Sus scrofa: one gene and its partners. The main gene of each other region encodes a partner of the protein of the gene in region 3 in a complex. Links are inferred from orthologs where the notes say so. Each region holds a gene or a part of one and is shown on either strand. Other genes may lie near its edges.

The links. Proteins that work in one complex are often made in the same cells at the same time.
Region 1: CNOT11 (region 3) and CNOT6L share a complex: the UniProt entries of both Homo sapiens proteins name them as parts of the CCR4-NOT complex. The link is inferred for Sus scrofa from reciprocal best matches to the Homo sapiens genes CNOT11 and CNOT6L.
Region 2: CNOT11 (region 3) and CNOT6 share a complex: the UniProt entries of both Homo sapiens proteins name them as parts of the CCR4-NOT complex. The link is inferred for Sus scrofa from reciprocal best matches to the Homo sapiens genes CNOT11 and CNOT6.

The regions. Positions count from the first base shown.
Region 1 is NC_010450.4:73,202,583-73,207,683, forward strand, and holds part of CNOT6L (CCR4-NOT transcription complex subunit 6-like), read right to left. Parts: intron 2,871-5,101; coding exon 2,668-2,870; intron 1-2,667. UniProt on the Homo sapiens protein: Has 3'-5' poly(A) exoribonuclease activity for synthetic poly(A) RNA substrate.
Region 2 is NC_010444.4:78,132,699-78,137,188, forward strand, and holds part of CNOT6 (CCR4-NOT transcription complex subunit 6), read right to left. Parts: intron 3,076-4,490; coding exon 2,863-3,075; 3' UTR 1-2,862. UniProt on the Homo sapiens protein: Poly(A) nuclease with 3'-5' RNase activity.
Region 3 is NC_010445.4:53,070,718-53,075,818, forward strand, and holds part of CNOT11 (CCR4-NOT transcription complex subunit 11), read right to left. Parts: intron 2,774-5,101; coding exon 2,621-2,773; intron 1-2,620. UniProt on the Homo sapiens protein: Component of the CCR4-NOT complex which is one of the major cellular mRNA deadenylases and is linked to various cellular processes including bulk mRNA degradation, miRNA-mediated repression, translational repression during translational initiation and general transcription regulation.

The DNA.
Region 1 (5,101 bases), on a different chromosome or scaffold from region 3:
CTTCCAGAGCTGTGAGAAATGAAGCCACACAGCTTATGGTATTCTGTTACAGCAATCTAAACTCACTAAGATACCTAGTCTACAAGTCATTCTCCCAACTGCTCACCCTTCAAGTCCCTCCAAATCAATTATAGTTCTAATTTATTCGAGAACCAAGAAAGTAAACAAATGCTAAGCCAAGTAAAGAAAACTTAACAGCACTCCATTCACGCAATGGCAGAATACTATATACTATATCTGGTTCTGGTTTTAATGATAATCACATGACTTTTTTTTTTTTTTTTTTTTTTGCTTTTGCTTTTCAGTGGTGTACCCGCTGCATATGGAGGTTCCAGGCTAGGGGTCAAATCGGAGCTGTAGTTGCTGGCATACGCCACAGCCATAGCCACAGCCACAGCCACACTGGATCCCTAGCCCCCTGAGCAAGGTCAGAGATCGAACCCACAACCTCATGGTTCCCAGTCAGATTCGTTTCTGCTGCGCCACAACAGGAACTCCATACCCACATGACATTTTAATTTTTTTACTTGTTGGCTGAGCCCATAGCATATAAAAGTAACCAGGCCAGGGATCAAACCTGCACCACAGCAGCAACCCAAGCTGTTGCAGCGATAACACCGGATCTTTAACCCGCTGCACCACAAGAGAACTCCCCACAAGACATTTATATATTTGATGCTACCTATCCTTTTTAACCAAGTCCCTTCAATATTGGTACAGCACATAAAATGCTTAGTAAGAAACTGAAAAGCTTACTGTGGGTTACTTGGACTAAAAGCTTAATTCTCTCTCTAGGCAGGGATACCCTTAGTTTGTTCTGATCATCCTTCTTTCCCATCTTATTTCAGCTTCCTGTCCATCTACCCAGCCAGCCAGTGTATTTATCTTCCCATTCATGACCCTCTCACACAGGTTTGTAGTTCTGTCCTTTCTCATCCTATCCTACATATGCAAATAGCAAACACTCCCTGAGCCATGTACTTTTGGTTCTTTCACTGTACTTCTTCAGACAATATAAATGGTTCATTAGGATGTTTTATTCAATTATTAACACATATAAAATCTTTTGAGGAAACATCAACAAAAGATTTTAAAGCAAATGAGATGTCTGAGGAAATAAGATAGCTTAGATTAATATTCCAAATTTTTTTTTCCCAATATTGACTTTATGGATAAAATAACCTGTATAGAAGCCTAGTTAAGGTAGAAGTGACCTGGTCTTTTTCCTACACATGTACCAAAACAACAAGAGTTGTAGAATCACTGAACACTTACTTTAAGGAACTTTTTTTTAGGTTGTGGGTTGTGTTCGCAGAGATGTATTACATACCGGTGTATACAGCTTAACCTATAGTAAACTGTGTATCGTGAAATCCAGAGGTTTTCCTTTAAGCTTACACAGGGGCAGGGGTGTGATAGTCAGCTAGGATCTGCTTTCTTAGCACTTCATCCCAATTCTGTGTTCAATGGTATTATGTTGGGAGCTTGAAATCTACCACAATGAGAGTACCTGTACCACAGAAATCAGCCAACACTATAAATTTAGGCTTCTTCTTTCTCAAAAAGCTAGTTATTAAATATTTATCAGCACATTTCTGCACATGAATCATCTGAACAAAATAAATTATCTCTGAATAGTATTATCTACTCTTACAGCAAAAATACTAAAACTAGATTCAATTTCTAAACATTTTTTCCCACTTCTTTCTTATAAAAACTGACCAATAACATCGGCACATGAATTTCCTATCTTCTTCCTACTGTTTCTTGGGAAGAGGCTAACAAGCATTGAAAATGGAAAAAGGTTTCCAGAGATGTATAAGGGCCCATTTCATAAATTTCCTTTTGTATTTTATTAAATTCTCTCTAGGCTTCTTACTCTTAACCACTTTCTACCATCTGCATTTTTTTAGGACAGTATAAGATTTTAGTATAGATGCCTGAAATGCTACAAAGTCAAACAAAGGTACAGCAGGAAAGCTATAGGCAGACAGGGTGATCAGAAAAGTGGCAAAGGGAAAGGGACTAATAACTGCAGAAAACCACTACCAATCAATGTTTCAAAAGAACAACTGGCCCTCTGTTTTTATCTTATTTTATAAAGAAAAATCTTTCTTGTCCTTTTATCAAGCTGGAGTGGTCTACTGCCTACAAATATATTAGTATGACAATATGGATGTAAAACAGACCCTAAGTACAACCCTCTCTCATTCTATCTCCCAAAGAAAACTGGAAATTTTTGAAATAAGTAAGATATAATGGAAAGTCCTAACAGAATTTTGAGGGAATACGATACAATGTCATTCATGGTGAGTTTAGCTATCTATATCAAGCTGCTTATGCTTCAGATCCTTACTGAAAGTTAGGGATGGTATGGACAAGTGAATATTGACTACATTAATAAATATAAAGTGCCTTTGAACAGTGCCTGGCACACACACAGCAATATGAAATTTGACCAAATGAGGGTTAAAATTTTTCAAGTCAACAATAAAAACCACAAAACCTAACAAATCTCCTTATATTTCAGTGCACACTCAGCCAAGACATTTTGAGAATCTAAAAATTCCTGAAGATTATACAATTGAGCATAAATAACATATACCTTTCTTGTCACATGTTTGCATTTGAAATAATTTCTATGTCAGCCCAGGGGCTGTCACTCACTTTGAAATCAAAGGTGTAATTGGTGTAAGGCATCAAGTTATTTTCATAGGCGCTCTTCAGTTGGAAGCCATGTGTGATTCTCCCTTCTGAGCTTCCATTCTTTCCATTGCAGCTGAAGTTCATAAGACACTCATTGTACCTTAGTTCCTTGAAGTCTTTATGGTTGTCAGCTACTCCTCCATTGCTTAAATATTCCACAACACCTAGAAAAATAAAGAAGGAAGAAACACTGCCTTTCAGCATTTAGAGCTTACAGAAGACCTCATGGCCAAAATGTGCTGCCAAGTGCTCACACCAGGTTCAGAGTGGTTTCATCACACTGCACCTTTACATATGAAACTGCCTTTTTGTCGTTAATGTTAAAAAAAAATCAAAAATCAACAATTTCCTGTGATTCGAACTGAAGGGTATTTGCCTATTTCAAAACAAAAATATCAGGATCACCCAGAAATATCTTCAGTTTTCCTAATGGTTCTTCAAGCTGAAGATGATTCCTAGGGTCTAGAGTGGGATTCACCAAGAAGGTCTTAACCCTAAACATTTTTAGAGTATTAGCCCAACCACTACCTCTTTAGTATTTCACCAATTCTATGCAGTCAATCAACCACTTTCAGAACACGTAAAATATAACATATGCAATAAAAATTTTTTTAAATCACTGACAATAGGAGTTCCTTTGTGGCTAAGGATCCAGAGCTGTCACTGCAATGGCTAGGGTCACTGCAGTGGCTCAGGTCACTGCTGTGGTGCAGGTTCTATCCCTGGCTTAAGATTTTATGCATGCCATGGGTGTAGCTAAAAACAAAACAAAACAAAAAATTGCTGATGACAAAAATAGACATTGCAATGTCTAGTTGCAGTACTAGGTGGCATTACTTTTTTGTTTTGAGCTACAGTGAATTTTTTCAGTATGAAACTAAACAGGGCATGAGGTATACCACTTGGTCAAAAATATTAGATGTATCTAAAAAACTGAAGAGAGGGAGTTCCTGTTGTGGCTCAAAGGGTTAAGAACTTGACATAGGGTCCATGAAGATGTAGGTCCCATCCCTGGCCTCAATCAGTGGGTTAAGGATCCCATACTGCACAAGCTGCGGCATAGATTGCAGGGGCAGTTCAGAACTGGTGTTGCTCTGGCTGTGGCACAGGCCCCAGCTATAGTCCCGAATTGACTCCTAGCCCAGGAACTTCCGTATGCTGCAGGTACAGCCTTAAAAATATAATTTAAAAAATAAAATAACAGTAATAATAAAAAGCTGAAGAGAGTAGAAGCATTCAAAAAAAGTACACTGCTTCCAATGAATATAATGAATATAATGAATAGCAAGTAAAAATGAAAAAAAAAATACCCTTCTTATGTTGATTATTAGTGAGCACTGTCAGTCACCTCTTTCTGCGACCAGGGATGACAGCAACATATAATGAATAAATGGTGAGTGCAACATCAATATTGTGAATAGCTGGAAAGCAGCTATGGTTTATCTAGCATTTACTATATGCCAGGCACTGTTGTAAGAGCTTTAAACACTTAAACCTCACAAATAATTCTATAAAGGAGATAAAATGATTATCCTTTCATTTAAAAATGAAGAACTTAGTCACAGATTGCATAGCTCCTACGTGGTAGATCCAGCATCCAGCCCTGATAGCCTGGCTCCAGTCGGCACACCGTACTATGATGTTGACTGGTTTAAACAAATCAAATGAGATGGGGAAACTTGTGCTTGAGAGCAAATCACTCAAAGAAAGAATTAAAAAAGAAGGACATGGTTAAGGTGTCAGCAAGGCTAGCTAGAGGCTCAAGACAAATATTTGTGAAAGGACAATTTCAGTATTTATTTGCTAAGAAGAAAAGGAAAAGAGGCTTTCTAGATTTGAGAATTTTATTAATATTTACAATTGAGGGCATTTGGGTCATCTTATATTTATGTTGAATGGTTACTTTAAATAATTTAAAATAGCTCACTGCAAATATACAAAATTTAGAATATGCATTGGTAATAGCAAAACAGCAATACTTTACTGTTTTTACCTTTGAATTTAGTATCTTAAGATACAGATCAAAAACAATTTAAGTTAGGACATAAAGTAGTTAAGTGGAGCTCAAAAAGTAATGTGAAATTCTGAGATAATTTTGGTCACTCTTCTGTACCTAATATCAGTGTTCAAGTATAACTTAATGAATTCACTTCAAAGTTTCCAACTATTAAACTGGATGGCTACCTGTACTGAAACTTTCTGCTTGCCTCTTCCAGTCTCTCCACTGCAGCCCATGTCACTGGAGGCGGACCTTGACTTGCATCGACTGCAGACCCTCTAGCTGGACTGGTGAATACGGAGCAGTGGCAAGAGTTCATAGGACAGGAGCAGAGTGAAGGAGGAATATATATTCCTTGGGCTCCCTTTTTGTTGGTTTGCTAGAGATTGACTGCAT
Region 2 (4,490 bases), on a different chromosome or scaffold from region 3:
TGCTCATTAAAACAGAAAATATACTGCAAATTTTCTGTAAAACATTCATAAGATGGATTTATCCAGTAAGAACACTGAAATTACATTATGGCAACACATTAAATATATTTGTACAGAATTTTTGGAAAAAACCTGTAACTGTGAGAACATACTAGTTTTTATTGCATCTTAGGGAGTATGGATTACTGGAAATTATTTAGGACACAGATAATACTTAAAACCTTGCTTAGCAAAAGTATCAGTCTATTTTGTAGACCCCAATTTTTTTTCTCTTTTGTAGGTTACATTTGTAAGTAAGTCTTGGTTTAATTTATCGCTACTGAATAAGGCTTCTCGGAGAAGCTGTTCAAACTAACCCACAGAATGTAGTACACCTAGAAGAGGCAAGAACAAACATTTTCAAGACATAACAGGCCACTATATCTTACTATGCTTACCCTAAATTCAAATATACTGTAGGTAATAACAAAAACAGATGAAAACATCCTGTGTAAAGCTCAAACCTTTAGCATCTAACAAGTGCACTCTAGTTCCAGTATCTATGATAAGAATACAATCCTCCATTAAAAAATACAAAATGAGTAAGTGCTTCTCCCCTCTCCCTTTCATAAAGCTTTCTGGACCTGTTATTACATAATGTAGGTAAAACGGTCTCATCAGTCCAACCAGATCCAGCTTGCCCGTTCTGGAAATTGTCATGATGCACATTACCAACACAGTGTTTAGGGAAAATGAGTAAACACACCTTTTATTCACACTTTACAAAACAAAACAAAACAAAACCAAAACCCCCAGAAACCCCATAAAAAGTTATGCATTGGTTCTATATCAATATTACCAGCTTTCCAATGTACTGATTATAAACTGGATGTGTTTGGTGTCAGCACAACTTAAAAAGCAAAAACAAAAACAAAAAACGTCACAACAAAATAAAAAAAAAAAAATCCACACACATACACACAAAAAAACAAAACTCAAAGGAAAAACCAGGTCCCAGACAAAGATTCAAGATCAAAACTTTCTGGAGAATTTTTAAAAACAAAAACAAAAAGATTCATTTACTTAAACAGTATGGAATTTTATTTTCTCTTAAAAACAGAATAAGCACATTTAAGTGCTGAACATTTTTCATAAAATTTTAAGTCATTATCCAAAATGACTCATTCTCTGTATAAAAATTGCTATTAACATTCAACAATTTCTTTTCTTAATGCTCACATACATGGTGTCCTTTTGCTCCCCTGCCTGCAGTTGAAACAAAAGCAGTTAGACCAAGTTCCTTCTGAATTCATTTGATTTTTGAGAGACAAATGAATAAATGAAAACAGAACATATACAAGTTAACGTTGCAAAGTTAAAAAGCTGGCTTTAATCTCTATTCTACTAATGGCACTATGGGCAAAATACAGGGTATATAACTTTTAGCTTGGTTGACATATTAAAATGACTTAGTCACTTAAAAATGATCTGAAGTATTGTCTTAGGGACCTGTTTTGAAAATACATTTCATTTATTTTATACTGCTTCATAAACGGAAAATTACTTTTTTAAAAAAAGGAATGATTAAAAAAAAAACATGGAGACTAAGGAATACATGGAAAACAAAAAGAATTCACATGATAGTAGTATTCTGGGTGACGAACAGCACTGTGCAATGACACCAAGAAGCAGTGCTTGGGTCTGGTGAGCAAAGACCCAGGGACCCACCCTATGAACATGTTCCAAAATGTGATATTCAATGCTTCACAATCGAAAAAAAGCCACAGCTCATACAAAAAGCATTTTCATAAAACTCTCACAAATGTTAAAACAGTATTTTTAAAAATATAAAAGAGGATGCACAGATTTTCTCTGCATGCACAGGCAGTGCTTGGTGAGAACAAATTCAGGCAGGCACAGTGGAGATAGTACAGGAAGTATCTCAAAAAAGGAGTTAAGAAGCTGTACTTAAGCAGCTGTAATTTTTTAACTTAAAAAAGTTAAAGATTTTAAAATACCAGAATGTACATATATCAAGCATTACATTCAAATCCATAAATGCCTACAGATCATTCACTGCTCAGCTTATCTATCCTGATAGATATTAAACCCCAGGAATTCATGGGTAAGTTGCCTCTGGTTCAAGAAAATGTCCTAAGCTTTAAACAGATTTAGATTTAAAGAGCAATGTTCTCGATTTAAAAAAGAAGTAGTACAAAAGGGCTAACTAAACCCTAACAGTGCAAATCATCAGCAGAGAAAGTCTGTTGCAACTTCTTTTACAAGCTGGCCTTTATAACACATGAAACAGGTTAAAAAAAAAAACAAAAACAACTTAGCCTTAGATTACAATACAATCATTTCCAAATCTGATTTTTTAGTACAAAATTTCATAAATCAGGTCTTCTGTGGAGCATATACAATCATAAAGGCTAAATTCAAATTCTCTATTTTACAAACAAGTCTGAAAAAGGAGGGAGTAAAGTATGGAAGGATGGTCTCTGGATGTTATTACTGGCCTCAAAAAAGTAGTGCTACAGATTTCTGTGCAAAGAGAATATGCTGTTCCAACATTTTCCTATTTCAAGGCATGAAAATATTATATTGGACAGAAGAAACAGGAAAATTACTTGTAACAATTTAAAGATAGGTGCAAACACACCAATCCCTGTCTAACAGTATATAAAGCATATTGGGCTCAGAATTTGTCTGTTGCTAGCACCTGGCTTTCATACTATATCCTTATCAAATAATCAGATTGAAAACTCAAATCATCATTAAGAAAAACAAAAAAATCCCTGGTGGCCATACCTCACTCCCCTATATTCAGATTATTTTATGAGTTTATGAGTGAAATTGAGGTCATCCTCTGAAGGTACTTGACTACCTCCTGCCAGGAAGATGAATGCCGTTAACTTGGGGCAGGAAAGGCAGTAAGAGCTCCAGTTGTGCAAAAAGTGAGAAGTGGTCGGAGGGGATGAGTGGGTGTGGGCAGCCGCTGATATTATTCTCAACTAGCCAATGGTGGTCCAGAGGTCCCAGGATGCCTAAAGTGTTCAGCTGAGGTTTAGAATAGAAGATGTAGTCAATTATACCCTGAAAAACAGAAGGCAAAAAGAAAAAAAAAAAAAAAAAAAAGACAAGGACCCACATAAGATAACACTGAAATACTGAGACTTTCCAAGACATATCCTTACAGTCATGTTGGATAAACAAAGAAACTTAGCCCACAGGAAAAGGCAGTACTATATAAACCAAATGGTGCCCCAAAGTCAGAATGAAGAAAGTTTAGGGACGATAATCATTCTTCCTCCCATCTGGATCTTTTCAGAATCTCTAAGGCAACCTAAAGAATCCTTCTTGTTATGGCCTCTGCTTCTCTTTCCTAATTTAATTTGTGACACCTTTCCTTGCTCATTATCCCACTGCTATACCAGTGCTTATTCTGGGTGGGGGCCATGGTCATGGTGGTGGTGAAGTGGGGGTACATTCCCTACAGATGCCAAGCTCTTTCCTGCCCCAGGGCTTCCAACATGCTATGCTGTCCCTTCTTGTCTGGAATACTTGTGATCTGGCCAATTGCTTCTTAACTTTCAATTGCCAAGTTTAATCACTTTACTCAAACCTTCCTGAATCCTGTATGAATTACTCACTTAATAGCACCTACCACCTCTGATTCTCTCCCCTTGCTAATGCACACGGCAAGGTGTAACTATACACTCATCTGTGTGGTTGAGACTTATCTCTCCCACCAGATCTCTGCTCTCCATACTCTCAAAAGCACCCAGGCACACAGCATCTGGCACACGGCTAAGTTACTCTCGGTTTGCTTCTCTCTTCCTATAACTTCAGCCTCTCCTTCACAGGCAAAAGCATTTAGGTGCATTCAAGTGTCTTCTTCCTAACTTTATATCAGTAATAGGAACAAGAGAAAAAACAACAACAACCCTAATCTTTTCCATCTTTTGGTTATCACCCTCACCTCTTCTTCAAACAATCTGCTTGAAATAAGAATCTAAAAGTTGGTTTTTCCTATCTCATTGCTCATTATTCTTCAACTCATCATATTCTAGTTTCTCTGACCAGCTCTCCAGTGAAACAACTCCATCGGTATCTTTATGAAGCTTAACACTCACTCCTTTTTCCCCCAGAAAACCTTTCTTTCCTTGGCATTTAAGTTTCCATACTATCCCAGTTTTCCTTCTCTCTGGTTACTATCATTTACATGTTAGTTTTCCCCCAGAGTCTACTTTGGTCTCTCTTCAACTCTATATACTCATCTGTTCCCACGGTTAAATCATTATCTACAGTACAATGGATTCTCCAAAGTCAAACTGAAAAAACAAAACAAAACTGTCAGTTTTCAACTGTTTCTCAAAGGAGTCCAAACAACCCTCCTCTCCAAAATTAAGAACCGGTTAACACAATACTCACACTATTCTAACAGATAATTTAACCTGAATGATTATTTTTTCCACAAGGTTAGAAATGCAAAACTAGGATATAAGAGA
Region 3 (5,101 bases):
CCCCACTCCTGGGCATCTATCTGGAGAAAAACATAATTCAAAAGGATATATGCATCCCCCTATGTTCATTGGAGCACTATGCACAATAGCCAAGACATGGAAGCAACCTAAATGTCCACTGACAGGAGTGGCTAAAGACGTGGTATATACACAATGGAATACTACTCAGCCATAAAAAGAATGAAATAATGCCATGTGCAGCAACATGGATGGACCTAGAGATGATCATACTGAGTGGAATAAGCAGATTAAGACAAATATCATATGATATCACATATGTGGAATCTAAAATACGACACAAATGCACTTATCTATGAAACAGAAACAGACTCAAAGAAATAAAGAACAGACTTGTGGTTGCCAGGGGGACGGAGTGGAGAGGGAGAGGATTGGGAGCTTGGGATTAACAGATGCAAACTAGTCTATACAGGATGGATAACCAACAAGGACCTACTGTAGAGTACAGGGAGCTGTATTCAACATCCTATCAAAACCGTAACGGCAGAGAATATGAGGAGTTCCTGCTGTGGCACAGTGGGTTAAGAATCTGACTGCAGAAGTTCCCGTTGGGGGAGAGAGGAAGAGAGGAAGGAAGGAGTATGAAACAGAATGTACCCACATGTATAACTGAATCACACTGCTGTACAGCAGAAATTAACACAACATTGTAAATCAACTACTTCAGTTAAAAAAAAATACCATTTAAATCTCTGGTCTGAGAACTTCCACAAGCCACAGGTGCAGCCAAAAAAAAGAGTAAATAGATTCCAAAAAAAAAAAAATCATCCCTTTTAAAGTACACTATTTCTTCACATACATCACCAGAACTGGCACTTGAATCTCTACAAACCATTTACAGAAAGTATGTTTTTAACCATTTCCGGAGAAGTACCACTTATGTGATAAAGGAGGAATTTCCTCTAAGGTAGGGATGCCCCGTGTTCAGCTACTCACCTACTACCTGACTGGTTTGCCTCTTACATACCCTCCTGGTGGCCCATCAAGTCCAAGCTATGCCTGGACACACTCGCCTGCACCGTGGTCCTTCCTGCACATTGAAACTTCAAATTTTAAGCCCATTTATTCCAAAGAACTACTGTACAGGACATGAAAGTCACAGTAGGAGTTTTATTTTTTATTTTTATTTTATTTTTTTGTCTTTTTGCTATTTCTTGGGCCGCTCCTGCGGCATATGGAGATTCCCAGGCTAGGGGTCCAATTGGAGCTGTAGCCACCGGCCTACACCAGAGCCACAGCAACGCGGGATCCAAGTCACGTCTGCGACCTACACCACAGCTCACGGCAATGCCGGATCGTTAACCCACTGAGCAAGGGCAGGGACCGAACCCGCAACCTTATGGTTCCTAGTCGGATTCGTTAACCACTGTGCCACGACGGGAACTCCTACAGTAGGAGTTTTAAACTCAAGATAACACTATAGTCTGGAGAACATGTTCTTATCCCTAAGCAGAAAGCATGCCTTCATCAGAACCTCATAGATGCCTATAAAACCAAAAAAAAAAAAAAAAAAAGTGTAGCTATTATTTCAAATTCAATAGGTGTTTTCTTTAAATTAAGAGCTCTAAGTAAAACTTCAATGGAGAAGATAGTGATAAGATTAATAAAGAGGTACAAAACTAAAGGTACAGGAGTTTCCTGGTGGCTCAGCAGGTTAAGGATCCAGCGTTGTCACTGCTTTAGCTCAGGTTCAATTCCTGGCCCAGAGACTTCCATCTGTGGCGGCTGTGGCCAAAAAGAAACCAAACAGGGAGTTCCCTAGATGTGGCCGTCCATAAAAACCAAACAAAAAACCAAAACCAAACCAAAACAAAATCTAAAGGTACAAAGTAAACTTAACTTCAATAAAATCAGAGAATTTTATTTTCAGGTGTCCTGATGATAGGTATGTAATAAAAACTTGGTTATTTTTATTAAAGAAGAAACTAGCTTTTACTGAGCATTCTACTATGTTCCAGACACTATACTAGTAAGTTTCTCATTAAATTGACATTTAAGCATCAACGAAAGTAACAATGTTTCAGAAAACCACAAAGTCTTGGAGTTCCCAGCATGGTGCAGTGGAGACAAACCTGATTAGGAACCATGAGGTTGTGGGTTCAATTGATCCCTGACCTCACTCGGTGGGTTGAGGATCGGTGTTGCTGTGAGCTGTGGTGTAGGTCGCAGACTCGGCTTGGATCTGGTGTTGCTGTGGCTCTGGTGTAGGCCAGCAGCAACATCCCTGATTGACCCCTAGCCTGGAAACCTCCATATGCTGTGGATATGGCCCTAAAAGGACAAAAGACAAAAAAAAAAAAAAAAAAAGAAAACCAGAAAGTCTCAGGGGATGCTGATAGAATAAAATCAAGAATATTAAATTAGGAGTTCCCATCTTGGCTCAGTGGTTAACCAACCCAAGTAGAATCCATGAGTATGTGGGTTTGATCCCTGGCCTCAATCAGTGAGTTAAAGATCCAGCATTGCTGTGAGCTGTGATGTAGGCTGGCAGCTACAGCTCCGAATGGACCCCTAGCCTGGGAACCTCCATATGCCGCAGGTGTGGCCCTGAAAAGACAAAAAGACCAAAAAAGAAAAAGCATATTAAATTAGATATACCTACTTTCAATAGGTGGCTTTGGTCCACTGACTAAAGCTTCCGTGATCTGAGAGGCAACCGAGCTGTCGAATCCAGAATTCGAAGAATCCGGGTCTGGGTCACTGAGAATGCTGGGGAAGCTGGCTTTACTTTGAGTTGGCAGCTCAGACTGGCGTTCTTAAAAAGGGAACCAAGACAGGAGATGTTTTAAAATTGAGAGCCCCACAGGGAGAATGAGAAGACAAGGTACTAACTGGAGAAAGTTACCTACCACACATATAAACGAAGGGCTAGATTCAATATATATAGAGATAGTATAGTAATATATACTACATATTTTATATATTATATAGTTTATGTATTATATATATGTATTTTTTAACTCCTACAAATCAATTTTGTAAAGTAGGGGAAAAAGGGGGGGTTCCCATTGTGGCTCAGTAGGTTAAGAACCCAACTTATCCATGGGAATTCGGGCTCAATCCCTGGCCTCACTCAGTGGGTTAAGCATCCAGAGTTGATGCAAGCTGTGGTCATAGATGTGGCTAAGATCCCACAATGCTCTGGCTGTGGTGTAGGCCAGCAGCTGCAGCTCTGATTTGACCCCTAGCCTAGGAAAGAAGAAAAAAAAAAGTAGGAAAAAAGAGAGTGCCTTGGTGGCTCAGTGGGTTAAGGATCTGGTGTTGTCACTGCTGTGGCATGGGTTCAATCCCTGGCCCAGGAATTTCTACATCCCATGGGCACACACACACACCCCCAACCCCCATCGTAGGAAAAGACAGGCTAATGTCTTCAACAGGTATGTTATTTTTAAAATGCACGAATGGCGAACAGACATCTGAAAGGATACTCAATCCTATTAGGAACCAGGGGGAAAATTAGCTAGAACACAAGACACTCTTACACAGCCACCAGACTGGCAGAAATGAACACGGCTGACATTAACAGATACAGAGGAGGCTATCAGGTAACTCATGTACTGCTGACAGGAGTGAAAAATGGCACAGCAACTTTGGAAAACAATTTGCCATTACCTAGTAAACTTTTGCATATGCTTATCTTTCCATCTAGAAGAAACACTTTCAGGAGAAAGTACAAAAGAAAGCTCACAGCCACATTATGTCCATCAAGGGTAGATTGGATAAAGGACTGTATTCCACTGTATGAAAATACCACAACAGCATGCACCGCCATCACTACAGGGACATGTCAGCAACATGGATCCATCTCACCAAAAATACCTGACAAAGTACAAAAAAATAAAAATGGGGAGTTCCCGTTGGGGCTCAGCAGTAATGAACCCGACTTAGTAACCATGAGGATGCATATTCGATCCCTGGCCTCGCTCAGTGGGTTAAGGATCCAGCATTGCTGTGGCTGTGGAGTAGACCGGCAGCTGCAGCTCTGATTCGACCCCTAGCCTGGGAACTTTCATATGCGAGCGGCCCTAAAAAAAAAAAAAAAAAAAAAAAAAGCCTAAATAAATACAGTGTGCTTCCACATACACAGATATCAGGAACAAGCATGGTTAAACTCTAGGCATGCTCAAGAGGGAGGGCTAGACAGTAGACAGCAAACTATTAACAGAAAACTCAGGTTAATAATGGGGCTGGAGGGCAGTAATTGAGAAATGCACAGGGAACTTCTAGGTCCTAAAAATATTCCTCCTTCCCCCTCCCCTTTTTACAGCCACACATGTAGAACACAGAAGTTCCTAGGCTAGGGATGGAATCAGAGCTGCAGATGCCAACCTATGCCATAGCCACAGCAACACCAGATGCGAGCTGCATCTGCAGCCTATGCTGCAGCTTGCAGCAACACCAGATCCTTAACCCACTGAGCCACAGGGGGAACTCTAATATTGCTCTTCTCAATTTTAATGGTGGCTGCTCCAGATCTGCTTTAAGAGACCATTAACCCAATGGAAAAATGGCTAGAGACATAAAAGATGTTTAACCTTATTCACTTCATAGGAAAAATGCAATTTTTTATCTCATTTTGCTGAAATACAAAAGGTAGGAAACATACTATTGACCAAGATATAGACAACATTTTTAAATTGGCACACTGTGGTACAAGCGTAGGTGTTTTGCAGAAATTTTAACAAGATAAAATTCTGCCCCTTGTATTTATTTCTGTTTAATTTGCCTGCTTGTTTTCTGAGAATTAGGAAAATGCAACCGCATCAGCCATAAATACACTTTGGTCGTGGATCCCATGAAGACATCTGAATCTCAGGCCGGCTGCTGTAGAGATCAGCTGTGTAGCCAGCGCCAGAGAAGATGGTGCATGCACTTTTTTTTTTTTTCCTTAAGTACTTGTGAAAAGACTGGATTAAGACATCCTCAGTCTGGGCAGAGGACAGCAAAGAGCTTAGGGCTCTTTGCTTAAGAGGGTAGCTGCTGTGCCAGGCTTCTCCGTCCTAATTCTGGTCACCTATTTCTCAGCTTGACATAACTTTAAAAGTTTTGCATTGGCTGATCGGTCATCACAGTTGAAAAGGAG